Sus scrofa: one gene and its partner. The protein of the gene in region 2 binds, or shares a complex with, the protein of the main gene of each other region. Links are inferred from orthologs where the notes say so. Each region holds a gene or a part of one and is shown on either strand. Other genes may lie near its edges.

Region 1 (6,010 bases), on a different chromosome or scaffold from region 2:
ACAAAGACATCTGTGTCGTAATCCTTACATGTTAGGCTTCAGCAAGTCGCTTGAGGTCATGGAACATGTTTTTGAGGAAATGATATTTGTTCATGAATAGATTCGTTCCTGTTATTTTCACTTAAGGCATAAACAACATCATCAGTGTGTTCTTTCCTTTTTCTCTGCCTTTGTTTGTTCTCCATGAAACTATAAAAAGCCAGGACTGCTTTCGGCTTTTTTGAAATGGCTGCAGTGATTCATTTTCTCCCATGTGCACGACAGTTCATCATAAGACAAATTATAAAGAAATTAGAGCACGTCTGACAGTTCCGCAAATGTGAACAGAATGCAGAGTGTTTGTGTCTCCACATCCTCTCCTGCCCGCTGTCAGCTCCTTTTCTCCCCTGGCCTTCTGGCCGGCCTCCCCCAGGTAAGGTTGCAAACCAGCATCAACATTCTAGACTTCAGCCTCTTCCACTTGCCCCCCAGATGTCATTAAAGCTGTCAGCACCATCGATGCACATGAGAAGGAGGGACATCCCTGGCCCAGGCTGGCCATCTTCTCGTCTCCGGCGCCTGGGGTCCTCCACGGGGCGAGGCTTAGCAGCCTGAAGGTGGTGGACCTGGAGTCGCACAAGAGCACATACACCTCAGGTACCATGGCCCCTTGGTGGCTCGTCCAGCCAGTGTCCACCTCCCAGCCCCACTCAGCCATGCTGGAAACAAAACCCCACCCTGTGTGCCAGAGGCTGGGGAAGCAGGATGAGGGAGGGCCAGGCCTGGACTCCAGGGCCCCTGTTCTGGCTTGGGGGTGGCAGGTCCTGGGACCAGCACACAGCCAGCTGAGTGGTTCATTTTGCCTGGGGCTAGGGGGGAGCTTCTCGGACGAAGGGACTTGTGACCCGCCAGCCCGACCAAATCACCAGCCCCATGTGACTGCAGCAGTTTCTCTTTTGCCCCATTGTCCAGGTATTAGCGAGGATGAGCTGCTGAGTAGCCTGCAGGTCCTGGATGCAAACACCTTTGCCTTCTGCTGCACCTCAGGCCGCCTGGGCCTTGTTGACACCCGCCAGAAGTGGGCCCCATCAGAGAACCTCAGGCCCAGCCCTGGGTCCGCTGGAGGGAGGTGGTATGCAGAAGTCGGCGGCCGGGGCCCTGGGCCTCGCATCGCCAGCCTTGGCTCGGACGGGCAGCTCTGTCTTCTTGACCTGCGGGATCTCAGCCAGCCTGTGAGCTCAGTCCAGTGCCCAGTGTCCACACCCAGCCCTGACCCAGAGCTGCTGCGAGTGACTTGGGCTCCAGGCCTAGACAACTGCTTGGCTATCTCAGGTACTGCTGAGCAGGATCTCGTGTCTGTCTTTGGATCTGTCTCTCCCAGGGTACTCTAGGGTGCTCAGGAAGGGGCCTGTAGCCCCACAATAAATCTGGCCTAAGAGGTTAAAGTAGCTTGGAAATGCTCCAGTGTAGCTCTCCAGGTCCTTCAGTGCTGGCTCTTCCCCATCCGGCTACCAAACTTCCATACCTTGGCGGCAGGCCTTTCTGTCCCAGCAGAAATTCAATTCTGAGGTTGGTCAAGAGGCCTAGAACAGCCATGGGGTGCAGCAGGCAGGGGTGATAGGACCTCAGGGGTGCGTCTCAGTCCACTCGCTTTCAAAAGTAGAGCAAGCCAGCTAAGTCAGCAGGCTTCTGGGTCTGGCCTGGCAGCATCTAGCTGAATGAGGGTATTGAATGAAGTATCAAAAAGCCAACGGAAGGATCCTCTGAGAGGGGGAGAGGTTTTTTTATTTTTTATTATTATTATTGGCCACCCCAAGGCATATGGAGTTCCCAGGCCAGGGATCAGACCCAAGCCGCAGTTGCAACCTACACCACAGCTGTGGCAATGCACTGTGCTGGGCCCGGAATCGAACCTGCATCACAGCGCTCCCAAGATACTGTTGATCCTGTTGGGCCACAGTGGGAACTCCTAGAGGGGGAGAGGTAGAAAGAATAGTTGAGAGAGCAGGAAAGATCATTAGTAATAGCAGGATCCAGATGAGAAGAACCAAGCTTGGCTATTCCTCCTTAAAGGTTCCTGCTTCCCCATCAAATAGGAGACACGGCCATCTGTTGAGAGGGACATCTGTTGAGAGGGACTCAGTACAGAGGGATTAGAAATTTGGGGGCAAGTGGAAAGGGTTTGAGATGTCCCTTAAGGGAGTTCTCATTGTGGCTCGGCGGTTTAAGAACCCAACTAGTATCCGTGAGGATGCAGGTTCCACCCCTGGCCTCACCCAGTGGGTTAAGGATCCAGCATTGCCATGAGCTGTGGTGTAAGTTGGCAGCTCTGATCTGGTGTTGCTGTGGCTTTGGTGGAGGCTGGCAGCTGCAGCTCTGATTCGACCCCAGCCCAGGAACCTCCATATGCCAGAAGTGTGGCCCTTAAGAAAAGGAAAAAAAGTCTCTTAAAGCTCAGTTTCTTGGGGAAAATAACAGTACCTGCTTCATGCAGCTGTGAGGACTAAAAGAGTGAATGCAGGATTAGCCTCGGGCCTGGCACATAGCAGATGGCTGACAGGTGCTCACCGTCCCCTGCCCCATAGTGTCATCAGCTGCCGACACTGAGGCTGGATGTTACATGCTCTGTCGTTGGCCTTTAAATATCTCATTACTATTTGATTTTTTTATCCTGTAGCCAGTTTGGGTTCCATAGAGCAAATTATGAAAATTACTCCAGGGATTCAGTGTCAGTGCTCCCTTTTCTTCTTTTTCCTCAGGTTTTTTTGTTTTGTTTTTAATGATTTTTATTTTTTCCTTCCTCAGGTTTTGATGGGACGGTCCAGGTCTATGATGTCACGTCTTGGAATGGAGTGGGGGGCCAAGTGGAACCTCTCTTCACTCACAGAGGTCACATCTTCCTAGATGACAGTGGCGTAGACACTGCTCCACTGGTCACCACCCATACCTGGCACCCCTGCAAACCAAGGACTTTGCTGTCGGCAGCAAGTGATGCCTCACTGCACGTGTGGGACTGGGTGGACCTCCGTGCTTCGCACTGACACGAGCATCTTTCCACCCGGGCCCTGGGAAGAGGAGGTGCTGCTGGATAGCAAGGATTCAAGTGACCACAGGGCCCTGTTCCAGCTGAGTGGCCATGGGCAAGTTAACCAGCCTCCTGGCCCCACTTTCTTTCTTTGTAAAATGAGATTGGTCATCAACTGTCTGGCAGGGTTGTTGGGAAAGTTAGAAGTAACATATTTAAAAATAATGGGTAGGGTGCATGGCACAATACATGTTTGGTGGCTACTGTTAGATCTGGGAGCCCCGTTTCCCTCAAGTTTTACCCCTGTCTGTATTCACAATATCATACAATCTAAAGAGTTAGTGAATGTAAACAGGTCCTGTGATTTTTTTTTTTTTTTTTTTTTTTTTTTTTTTTTGTCTTTTTGCCTTTTCTAGGGCCTCTCCTGTGGCATATGGAGGTTCCCAGAATAGGGGTCAACTCGGAGCTGTAGCCGCCGGCCTAAGCCAGAGCCACAGCAACGAGGGATCCGAGCCACGTCTGCGACCCACACCACAGCTCACGGCAACGCCGGATCGTTAACCTACTGAGCAAGGGCAGGGACCGAACCCGCAACCTCATGGTTCCTAGTCGGATTTGTTAACCACTGAGCCATGACGGGAACTCCTGTGAATTTTTTAAAGAACTAAAAATGGGCAAATGAACATGAAAAGTCAACCCCAGTGGCAGTAAAGGAAATAGTTAAGATTATGCCATTTTTGCCTACTAAATGTCAAATTTTAAAACATCTTTGGAGTTCTCTGGTGGTGCATCAGGTTAAGATCTGACATTGTCACTACTGTGGTGCAGGTTTGATCCCTGGCCTGGGAACTTCTGCATGCCACAGGCATGGCCGAAAAGAGAAAAATAAATAAATAAAACATTTTTGCTCTCAACAGCTGATAGAGGTTACAAGGTACACAGTTCAGAAGGCACAAAGGAACAGCATGGTTCTTTATCCCAGTTGTGTGATGAACTGTTGTGTAGTTGAAGCATAATTTATATATCCAGGCTCCTGTTAAATGGCAATTAAAATTTTCTAATCTTTTTCAGTAATATGTACAACTTTTGTATCCATGACATTTCTAAAAATAAAATTCTGGGAGTTCCCCTTGTGGCTCAGTGGTAATGAACTCAACTAGTATCGTGAGGATGCAGATCCAATCCCTGGCCTCACTCAGTGGGTTAAGGATCTAACATTGCTGCAAGGTGCAGCATGGGTAGAGAAGCAGATTGGATCCCATGTGGCTGTGGCTGTGGCTGTGGCACAGGCCAGGAGCTGTGTCTCTAATTTGACCCCTCCTTTGGGAACTTCCATATGCCGCAGGTGGGGCCCTAAAAAAAAAACTATATATATATATTTAAATAAATATATTGGAGTTCCTGTCATGACTCAGTGGTTAGTGAACCCAGCTAGCATCCATGAGGACACAGGTTCAATCCCTGGCCTCACTTGGTGGGTTAAGGATCTGGCGTTGCCATGAGCTGTGGTGTAGGTCGCAGATACAGCTCGGATCTGGTGTTGCTGTGGCTGTGGCACAGGCTGGTGGCTACAGTTCCGATTCGACCCCCTATATGTATAGTATGTGTGTGTGTAGATATAGATATATAAAATTGCTGAGGCAGAGGATGTGTGCATTTTTAGTGTTTATAAATACTGTCCAAATGCCCTCTGTGGAGATTGTGCCACATTATGACAGCAATAGTAATGATCTGTTTCTCTTACCTTAACAGCAGTCCCTTTAGTGGCTTTTTTACTTGTGCCAGTCTGATAAATAAAAAAATCATTATTTGTACTTTTAGTCTGCATTTCTCTTATGTGCGAAGTTGAGACTCTTCATATATTTAAAAGTTTGGGGCGGCTGTTTTTAAAGGTGCTAACAGCCAAGGTGGGGACATGGGCATCCTCACCAGTAACACCTGCGGCGCTGGGCCTTCAGGCAGAGACTGGCCTCCCTACCCCGGGCTCTCACTGGAACCCGACTCTCCCCAGGGTGGTACTTTCCCATCCCTGGGCCTGTAGCAAACATGAAAGTGAATCTGCATCCTGCTGCATAGAATTTCTTTCTTTTCCTTTTTTTTTTTTTTTTTTTTTTTTTGGCATCTTAGGGCTGCATTTGCGGCATGTGGATGTTCCCAGGCTAGGGGTCGAATTGGAGCTGTAGCCGCCAGCCTAGGTCACAGCCACAGCAACACAGGATCTGAGTTGTGTCTGCAACCTTCACCACAGCTCACAGCAACGCCAGATCCTTAACCCACTGAGCAAGGCCAGGGATCCAATCCACATCCTCACGGTTCCTAGTCAGATTCACTAACCACTGCGCCATGACAGGAACTCCCGGGAGGGATGTCATTATGTGGTGTCTGAAGGAGGAGGCAAGGGAAGGAAAGCCCTAAAGAAGGTGCTGGCTGGGTGTGACCAGAGCCCAGGAATGGGCCTCCTGGTGGGAAGTGAGCACAGTAATCCTGTCTGGCTGGGGCTGGGCTGTGGGCAGGGGCTGCCTAGCAGGTGCCGAGACAGTAGAGGAAACGGCTGCAGACTGCAGAAGTACAGAGGAAGAAACCCCAGACTTCTCTCCTTCAGATATCCTGCCTGTACCATGGACCAAACCTGTCAGGAGCTTGTCACTAAGAGAGCCTGGGAAACGCAGTGAGCAGGGGGCAGACCTGGGATGGATCTGGGGACACACAGGCAAATGACAGCCGAACTTCTATAAATTAAGCAAGAAAAAGGAAAAGAAATGATTAAAGAAAACAGAACAAGGCTGTCACAACAGATCTGGAAAACAAATATTAAAAGACTGTGCACAGGAGTTCCCTTGTGGTGCAGTGGGTTATGGATTTGTCACTGCAGTGGCTTGGGTTGCTGCTGTGGGGGTTCCACCCCTGGCCTGGGAACTTCCAAATGCTGCAGGTGAAACCGAAAAAAAAAGAAGAAAAACAATAGTGAGCACAATGATGTTGATTTGAAAATCTTAAGATAGTTAA
Region 2 (6,693 bases):
TGTGGCCTACGCCACAGTGGCAGCAACGCCGGATCCTTAATCCCCCGCACTGGGCTAGGGATTGAACTGGCACTGCCACAGAGACGAGGCTGGTCATTAGCCCACTACGCCGCGGCGGGAGTTCCGGCTCAGGTTTTCTTGCTGACTTGTTTATAGTCTCACTCCCCCCCTCCCCCATTTGTCTGTTCCTACAGCTGGAGAAGTATTTGCCGAGTCCTCACTCCGAGCCAGGCACGCACTGGGTGCTCTGTGAGTGACACCAAGAGCCTGGCCCCACTGGGGCGACATCCAAGTGGCAGGGCAATGTTTGTGTCGGGTAACAACAAAGGCAGGAAGTTCCAACATGACAGGTAGAAGGACAAGCCCCATGGAGAGACAGACTGTGGACGGAGGTGGGAGGGCCATGCCCTTCCCTGCTTGAAGCTGCATCCCAACAACCAGAGCAGAGGCTGCAGGGTCAGTGTTTGTGGACAGCTAGACAGACATCAGCCTTTCACTCCTATGGTAACTGCACACGCCCCACACAGGAGGGACCAAAGGTCCCTGCACCAAAGGTCTTCCCACTCTCCGAAGGCAGCCCTAGGCCCTCCCTGAGCCCCAGGGAATCCAGAAGGGCCCCAGGCTAGAGTCCTGCTCTGGGTTCTGCTGGCATTCATAAAGTCACTCCAGGAGTTCCTGCTGTGGCTCAGCAGTAATGAACCCGACTGGGACCATGAAGACACAGGTTTGATCCCTGGCCTCGCTCAGTGGGCTGAGGATCTGGTGTTTCAGTGAGCTGTGGTGTAGGATGCAGTTGTGGCTTGGATTCCGCCTTGCTGTAGTGTAGGCCAATTTGACCCCTAGCCTGGGAATTTCCATATGCCGCAGGTGAGGCCCTAAAAAGCAACAAACAAACATATAGTCACTCCACAAACATCCCAGTGCCCACATGTTACTGGATACCTCTGGGCACCCTGTGCCATGCTTCCCTGTGGTGTGGCTCCGACAGGCCCTGGGGACCCAGCTGTATCTCACGTCAAGTCCAGGACAAGCTCTTGTCCCTTTGGGCCTGGGGGGTTCCTGTACCCTTGGTGCTGGGAGCTCTGGGAGCCAGGCATGGGAGGGCAGCCGTCCAAGCTGTGGTGAGAGCCCAGCCAGGAGAGCACACCTGGATGCCTGGGCAGATCACACACTCTCCTAAAACCCCGCCCTTCATCTTCGGGGAGAATGGGCCAGCACACCCTGCCCTGCCCAGCATCTGGACTGCTGAGAGCATCTGATGGGGCCCAGGGGTTGCTGAGGCCCTGCAGGCCCCACAGGCTTGGCTGCAAGCCTGATGCCAGGCCCAGTGCTCGGAGGTGAGCTCACCCTGTGTTCAGGTGTGGGAGACAGCCATGCCTGGCCTCAGGAAGAGGACACTCCAGAGACTTCCAGAGACTCCCTCTCTCAGGGCTTCGGTTTTCTGTCCACGGAGCAGATGGCCTCTGAGGCCCTCAGGGCTCCCTTCCTGGTCACCAGACATCCTGTGGGCCTGGCCTTCCTGCCCAGAACCTGAGCCAGCAGCTAACTGGAGGTGCCAGGAGTCTTTCAGAGCTTGAAAACAACAGGAAGGGCAGTGGCCATGCAGCCGGGGCGGGCAGCATGCCAACTCTGGGAAGGTGATGCAGGGCACCGCCAAGGCTCCCCCAGAGGCAGCCCAGGCCCCAAGGTCAGGGCTCATCTTGAGGCCGGCATGAGCACCGGAGCCCTGTGGCTGACAGCAAGGAAAATGGGGCAGTCCTCCAACACCTCAGGTCCAGAGGGTGTGAGCCAGGCCCTGTCCAGGAAGTCCTGCAAATCTCGCCTGGGAAGGAGGCTCCAGGTGGCGCTGGGCTGGAACGCGAGATCCCCGACCAGGTGGGGTCCCCAACCTGGGCAGGTCCTGCTCCAGCTGAGGCCCAGGGATGGGACAGGGACCCCGGGTCCGGGCCGGTGCGGGAGGCAGGTCCTCGGCCGCCCTCTCCCGCGGTCCCACGGCAAGGTCCAGGCCCACCCGCCGGGTTCGGTTGGGCTGGGTTTCCCCGCCACCGACTGCAGCTCGTTTCTACCCGCTCACCTGCGCCGCCGCCGCCGCTCACCTGCGCCGCCGCGGCCGCCCCAGGTCCCGCTGCCCCGCCCCCGGCCCCCGCCCCACCGCCCAGGATTGGCTGCCATCCGCCCAATCAGAAGGCCCAACGCGCCCGCCCGCGCTTCCGTGGAGCGCACCGGAAGCTGGCGCAGTTGAGGCTGCGTCTGCGCAATGTGTCGCCTCCAGTCAGTGCGCGTGGCCGCAGCAGGGGCTCGGCGCCGGGGTCTGGCGGGGCGGCGGTAGTCCCACCATCGCTCAGGATGCCCGAGATCAGGGTCACGCCCCTGGGTGAGTGCGGCGCGGGCGGTCTGGTGCGTGCGGCGCGGCAAGAGCGCGCAAGGAAGGCGAGTGGGAGGCTCGACGGGCCGGGGACCCCCGCAGTCTCGTCGCCCCCCCCCCCCCCGCGCGCCGGTGCTTCAGGGCGCCTTCGCTGCTGTCTCTGCTTCCTCGCCACTCCCTGCCCATCCCCGTCCCCCGTCTGTCTGGCGTCCGCTTTCCTGCAGCCTCCGTGTATCTATCTGCAGTCCACCCGCCCGACCTTGTTTTATGTGGTTGCTGCAACATTAAGGTAACTTTGCTTTTCGCAAAAGATGTAAGTGCACAGTTTAAAGGCCCAAAAGGTACAAAACAGTGCGAAGGAGGAAGGATCACTCAGAATCCCGCGTCTTAGAAACAGCCGAAGTTATCATTTTCATGGTCAACTCTCCAGCTGCTGCTGCCTCGCCTCCCTGCGCACCTGTGGGGTCTGTGCTGGAAGCTGCCTCCTTCCCCGGGGCGTGCGCTGGGAGCATCTTCCGTAGACCGTCCCCCGAGCTCCACATCCTTTCTTCTGTGGTGAGCTCTCCCTCAGAATAGCCCACCCAGCCCCCAGTGTGGACACAGAGCTCTTGGCAGTTGCAGTGAACACCCTTGCCCCTGGCCTGCTGGGTCAGAGCGCACATCTCACCCAGCCATAAGTGTCCTCACCTGCGTGGCCTCTCCTAGCTGTTGGCTCAGGGTCCCCTCTGGCTGCTTCAGCCCCATGCCCTCCCCGCCTCTGCAGATTCTCCTTCCCGCCTGACCCTTTTCCATGTAGTTCCTCTTCTCACCGCTCATTCCTGAGCAGTCCTATCTTTTTAGTGCTTTTTTTTTTTTTTTTTTTTTTTTTAAACCCCAGATCTGCACCTGGAGTGCCCTCAGTGTCACTTAACCTTGGCACCATCAGAGCAGAAATACGTTGCCAGTTTCTGCCTCAGAGGGTCCCTGGTCACTGGGCCAGATACAGAGAGCCCTCCCGGATCCCTCCTACCACAGGGCTTTTGCACAGCTGCCCTCCCATCCCACGGTCCTTCTCCAAACTACTCGGAATTCGTCTTCTCAGGGAGGATGTGCCCATCCGTTTCCCTGTCTTACTGTTTCCTGAGGAGGCGCTCATCTCATCTGGTGCAGACTTCTCTAGGTGGTCACTGTGTCCTCGCCCTGAAACCCCAGCTCCCTGTGGGCACAGTGTCTGCTTTGTCCCCACCTCCCCACCCTCCTGCGCACCCTAAGCTCTGTTCCGCAACCCTTCCCTGCCCAGTTCTGGCCACTTTCCTTGCTCCCTGGGATTGTTGTGGGTCCTGTTGGGAGCAGGCAGCCCATGCCCAGGAGCAGAGCTCTGGAGTCCACAAAACTGTCACACGTGCCCATGGGCTGCTCCATGACTTCACACCCTTGTCTGTGAAGGGGGGACCCTTCCCCTCCCATAAATTCTGCAGTACCTTGGAGCTGGTCATGGCTTGGGGCTTGAGGTGCAGCAGGAAGCAGGCAGCTGAGCCCTGCCCTCGGGAACTCATGGTGGAGGCAGGAGCAGGCCTGTGGGGGACTGCGAGGCCACTGCCTGTGGCTGGGCTGCCCGAGGCCCACAGGCCGAGCTCGTGGCTGCCATCGCCTTGTATTGTCATGGGTGACTGAAGCTTTCTGAGGACCAGCCTGTGTCCTGCTTTGGGCTGTGGCCTGGTCACTCTGGTGGACGCAAGGTTCAGGTGGCCACAGAAGGAGGCTGGTCAGATTCAAGATGAAAGGCAGGTCATTTGCTGTCATCAGGCCTTGCAAGACTGTGTCCCTTTCCTTCTGGGCCTCCAGACTCCAGAGGAGGTGACAGATGGCCATATCAGGGGGCTGGGATGTGCCCCACTGGGGTTGGAGCATCTCGGTAGGGCTTGGAGATCAGGAACGTGAATGGGACTCAGATTACAGTCTGGGCTGGTGCTGCCCCGAGAGGGCACAGCACTGGGGGCTTTTGTCATTTGGGGACATGGGGCCACATAAAGCCACATGGCATCCCTCTGCAGTGGCACCACCAGGAGGGGCTGGCACCTCTTGGGGGCAGGGGCCCCGCAGCTCAGATGTAGCCCTGGCTTTGCGTGTGTTGAGTGCTGGGACCACAGTGCAGCACCCGATACTCAGCTCTTGGTCTCAGGATGTGGGTGTCTGCTGCGGGTGGGTTGCTGCCTCAAGAGGGGACTGATGAGTTCCTGTCTGGGCACAGTGGTCACGAACCTAAGTAGTAACCACGAGGACTCAGGTTCGATCCCTGGCCTTGCTCAGCGGGTGAAGGAGCCGGTGTTGCTGTGAGCTGTGGCGTAGGTCAGGTGCTGCAACTCCGATTCCACCCCTAGCCTGGGAACTTCCGTATGCAATGGGTGTGACCCTAAAAAGCAAATAAATAAATAAAAAGAGGTGAATGGCAGGGCCTGAGGCTGGAGGCCCTGTGGGGAAGGGCCTGTGGTGGCCTTGGCGCCTTGCGGCTCTCCCACCCCGGGTGTTTCTCTTGTCTACGTGCGGAGGTGCTGTCCCCTCAGCTCGTCTACACAGCCGTCACAGGTCAGCCGGAGCGCTCAGGGGGTCTGGAGCAAGTGGAGGGCATCCTTCAAGGGCGGGGGTGAGGGAAGGGCATGGCAGCACCTTTCCCGCTTCCCCCTGTGCAGGAGCCGGCCAGGATGTGGGCCGAAGCTGCATCCTGGTCTCCATCGGGGGCAAGAACGTCATGCTGGACTGCGGGATGCACATGGGCTTCAGTGACGACGTGAGTCCCGCGGGCGGCCGCCCGGCACCCTGCCCGCTCCTGCGCGCCATTGGCAGCAGGACCGGGCCCAGGGGGTCAGGCCCTGAGCCCTGGAGGGGGGGCCGTCTGGGCAGGTGGGCGTTGGTGGGAGGCCGGTGGCTCTGAGGTCACTGCATTCCCGGCCTCCCGCCCCCACCGTCCCTGGGGGTGGCCATGGAAGTCCCGGGTCTTGGGCCTGCTTCGGCCTGATGCTCCCCACCCCCCACCGCCGCTCTGCAGAGGCGCTTCCCTGACTTTTCGTACATCACCCGCCACGGCCGGCTGACCGACTTCCTGGACTGCGTGATCATCAGGTGGGCTCCTGGCACTGCCGGCTGGACTGTGTGCCGCCCGCGTCGCCTCTCTGGCTTGCCCCTGGGGCTGGCGCGCTGCATCCTGGCCCCCGTGGGTCCTAGGTGTTTGCCCTTGGGTGGTGGGGCGCTCCGCGCAGGGCATGCTTAAGCCGCTTCTTGGGCCTCCTCTCCCTTAGCCACTGATGCCAAGGCAGCGACCACCTACCCCCCTGCCAGCCCTTGACCTCACGGGCCCTCCCAGGGTCCTCACCCGCTCTTCCCCTGCCTCCCTTCCCAGCTGCGTGGGGCACCCCCCCCCCCCGGCAGTACACATCCGTTTCTGGGATGCAATGACCCTGGCCTTTGCCACGTGGCCTAGGGGAGCACAGTGGCCTCCTGCTAGTCCCCACCTGCAGCCCAAGGACCCGCCAGCCTGGGGCAGCTGCATTTCCAGCCGCTCTGGAGGCCCTGTGGTCTCGGTCCCTCCTCCGAGGTGGGCTCACCTGGTGTGTCCACTCCTCCTGAGGGTGGGCGCAGCGCTGCTGTTCCCTCCACCCCACTGCCTTTCCAGGCCTCCTCCAGGTGCCACCCCCTGGGTCTGCCTGACCACCTGCCCCGGCCCCTTCTGACCTGCGGCCCCTGAGCACCTTTCTGTTGCTCTTGGACTGTAACGCTGTCTGGCACCTGCAGGACTGCCTGCTGTTGCTTCTCTAGACATTCAGGCACCGAGTCCCAGGCCCGTGGTGGTCTGTCCTCTCGCTCTCACCCTTGGGGCCTGGGGCGGCACCTGACGCGCAACAGCCCCGGAGGAACGAGAGCGTGGTCGCCCTGAGCTAGAGCTGGTACGGCGGGGCCGGGGGCCTGGGCTGATCGGCGCTGTGCCCCCAGCCACTTCCACCTGGACCACTGCGGGGCGCTCCCCTACTTCAGCGAGATGGTAGGCTATGACGGGCCCATCTACATGACGCAGCCCACGCAGGCCATCTGCCCCATCCTGCTGGAGGACTACCGCAAGATCGCCGTGGACAAGAAGGGCGAGGCCAACTTCTTCACGTCCCAGATGATCAAGGACTGCATGAAGAAGGCGGTGGCCGTCCACCTCCACCAGACAGTGCAGGTCGGGGCCCGCGCCGAGGGCGAGCTCGGGGCTCCCCGGCCACATCCAGCCCCGCAGCCCTGTGCCCATGTGGGCTGGAGGCCAAGGGGCACTGGTGCCATCTGAGTGCCATGGGGCCTGGGTGTGGGCACGG

Evidence for each region. Proteins that work in one complex are often made in the same cells at the same time.
Region 1: the proteins of INTS11 (region 2) and WDR73 are in contact, whole or in part, in a cryo-EM structure (PDB 8R22), measured with the Homo sapiens proteins. The link is inferred for Sus scrofa from reciprocal best matches to the Homo sapiens genes INTS11 and WDR73. Residues at the interface, in NP_060341.2 of Homo sapiens: Tyr206, Thr208, Thr209, Ile210, Arg211, Asp212, Ser213, Arg215, Cys216, Arg217, Glu218, Arg219, Asp220, Leu222, Lys223, Lys224, His226, Phe255, Arg258, Met259, Leu364, Val384, Glu385, Tyr386, Ser388, Lys418, Lys419, Glu421, Phe422, Gln425; in NP_116245.2 of Homo sapiens: Asp5, Asp6, Leu8, Val9, Ser11, Leu12, Tyr15, Gln16, Phe18, Tyr19, Ala20, Phe21, Asp22, Leu23, Glu50, Leu52, Arg59, Leu68, Phe69, Pro70, Glu71, Arg72, Asp73, Phe74, Lys75, Val76, Gly79, Phe81, Asp116, Ser117.

What each region holds. Positions count from the first base shown.
Region 1 is NC_010449.5:52,899,330-52,905,339, forward strand, and holds the end of WDR73 (WD repeat-containing protein 73), read left to right. Parts: intron 1-471; coding exon 472-636; intron 637-951; coding exon 952-1,311; intron 1,312-2,784; coding exon 2,785-3,020; 3' UTR 3,021-4,818; downstream 4,819-6,010. UniProt on the Homo sapiens protein: Component of a multiprotein complex required for the assembly of the RNA endonuclease module of the integrator complex. Associates with INTS9 and INTS11 in the cytoplasm, stabilizing the INTS9-INTS11 heterodimer and blocking the active site of INTS11.
Region 2 is NC_010448.4:63,603,434-63,610,126, reverse strand, and holds the start of INTS11 (integrator complex subunit 11), read left to right. Parts: upstream 1-2,223; 5' UTR 2,224-2,346; coding exon 2,347-2,374; intron 2,375-5,034; coding exon 5,035-5,132; intron 5,133-5,390; coding exon 5,391-5,464; intron 5,465-6,331; coding exon 6,332-6,560; intron 6,561-6,693.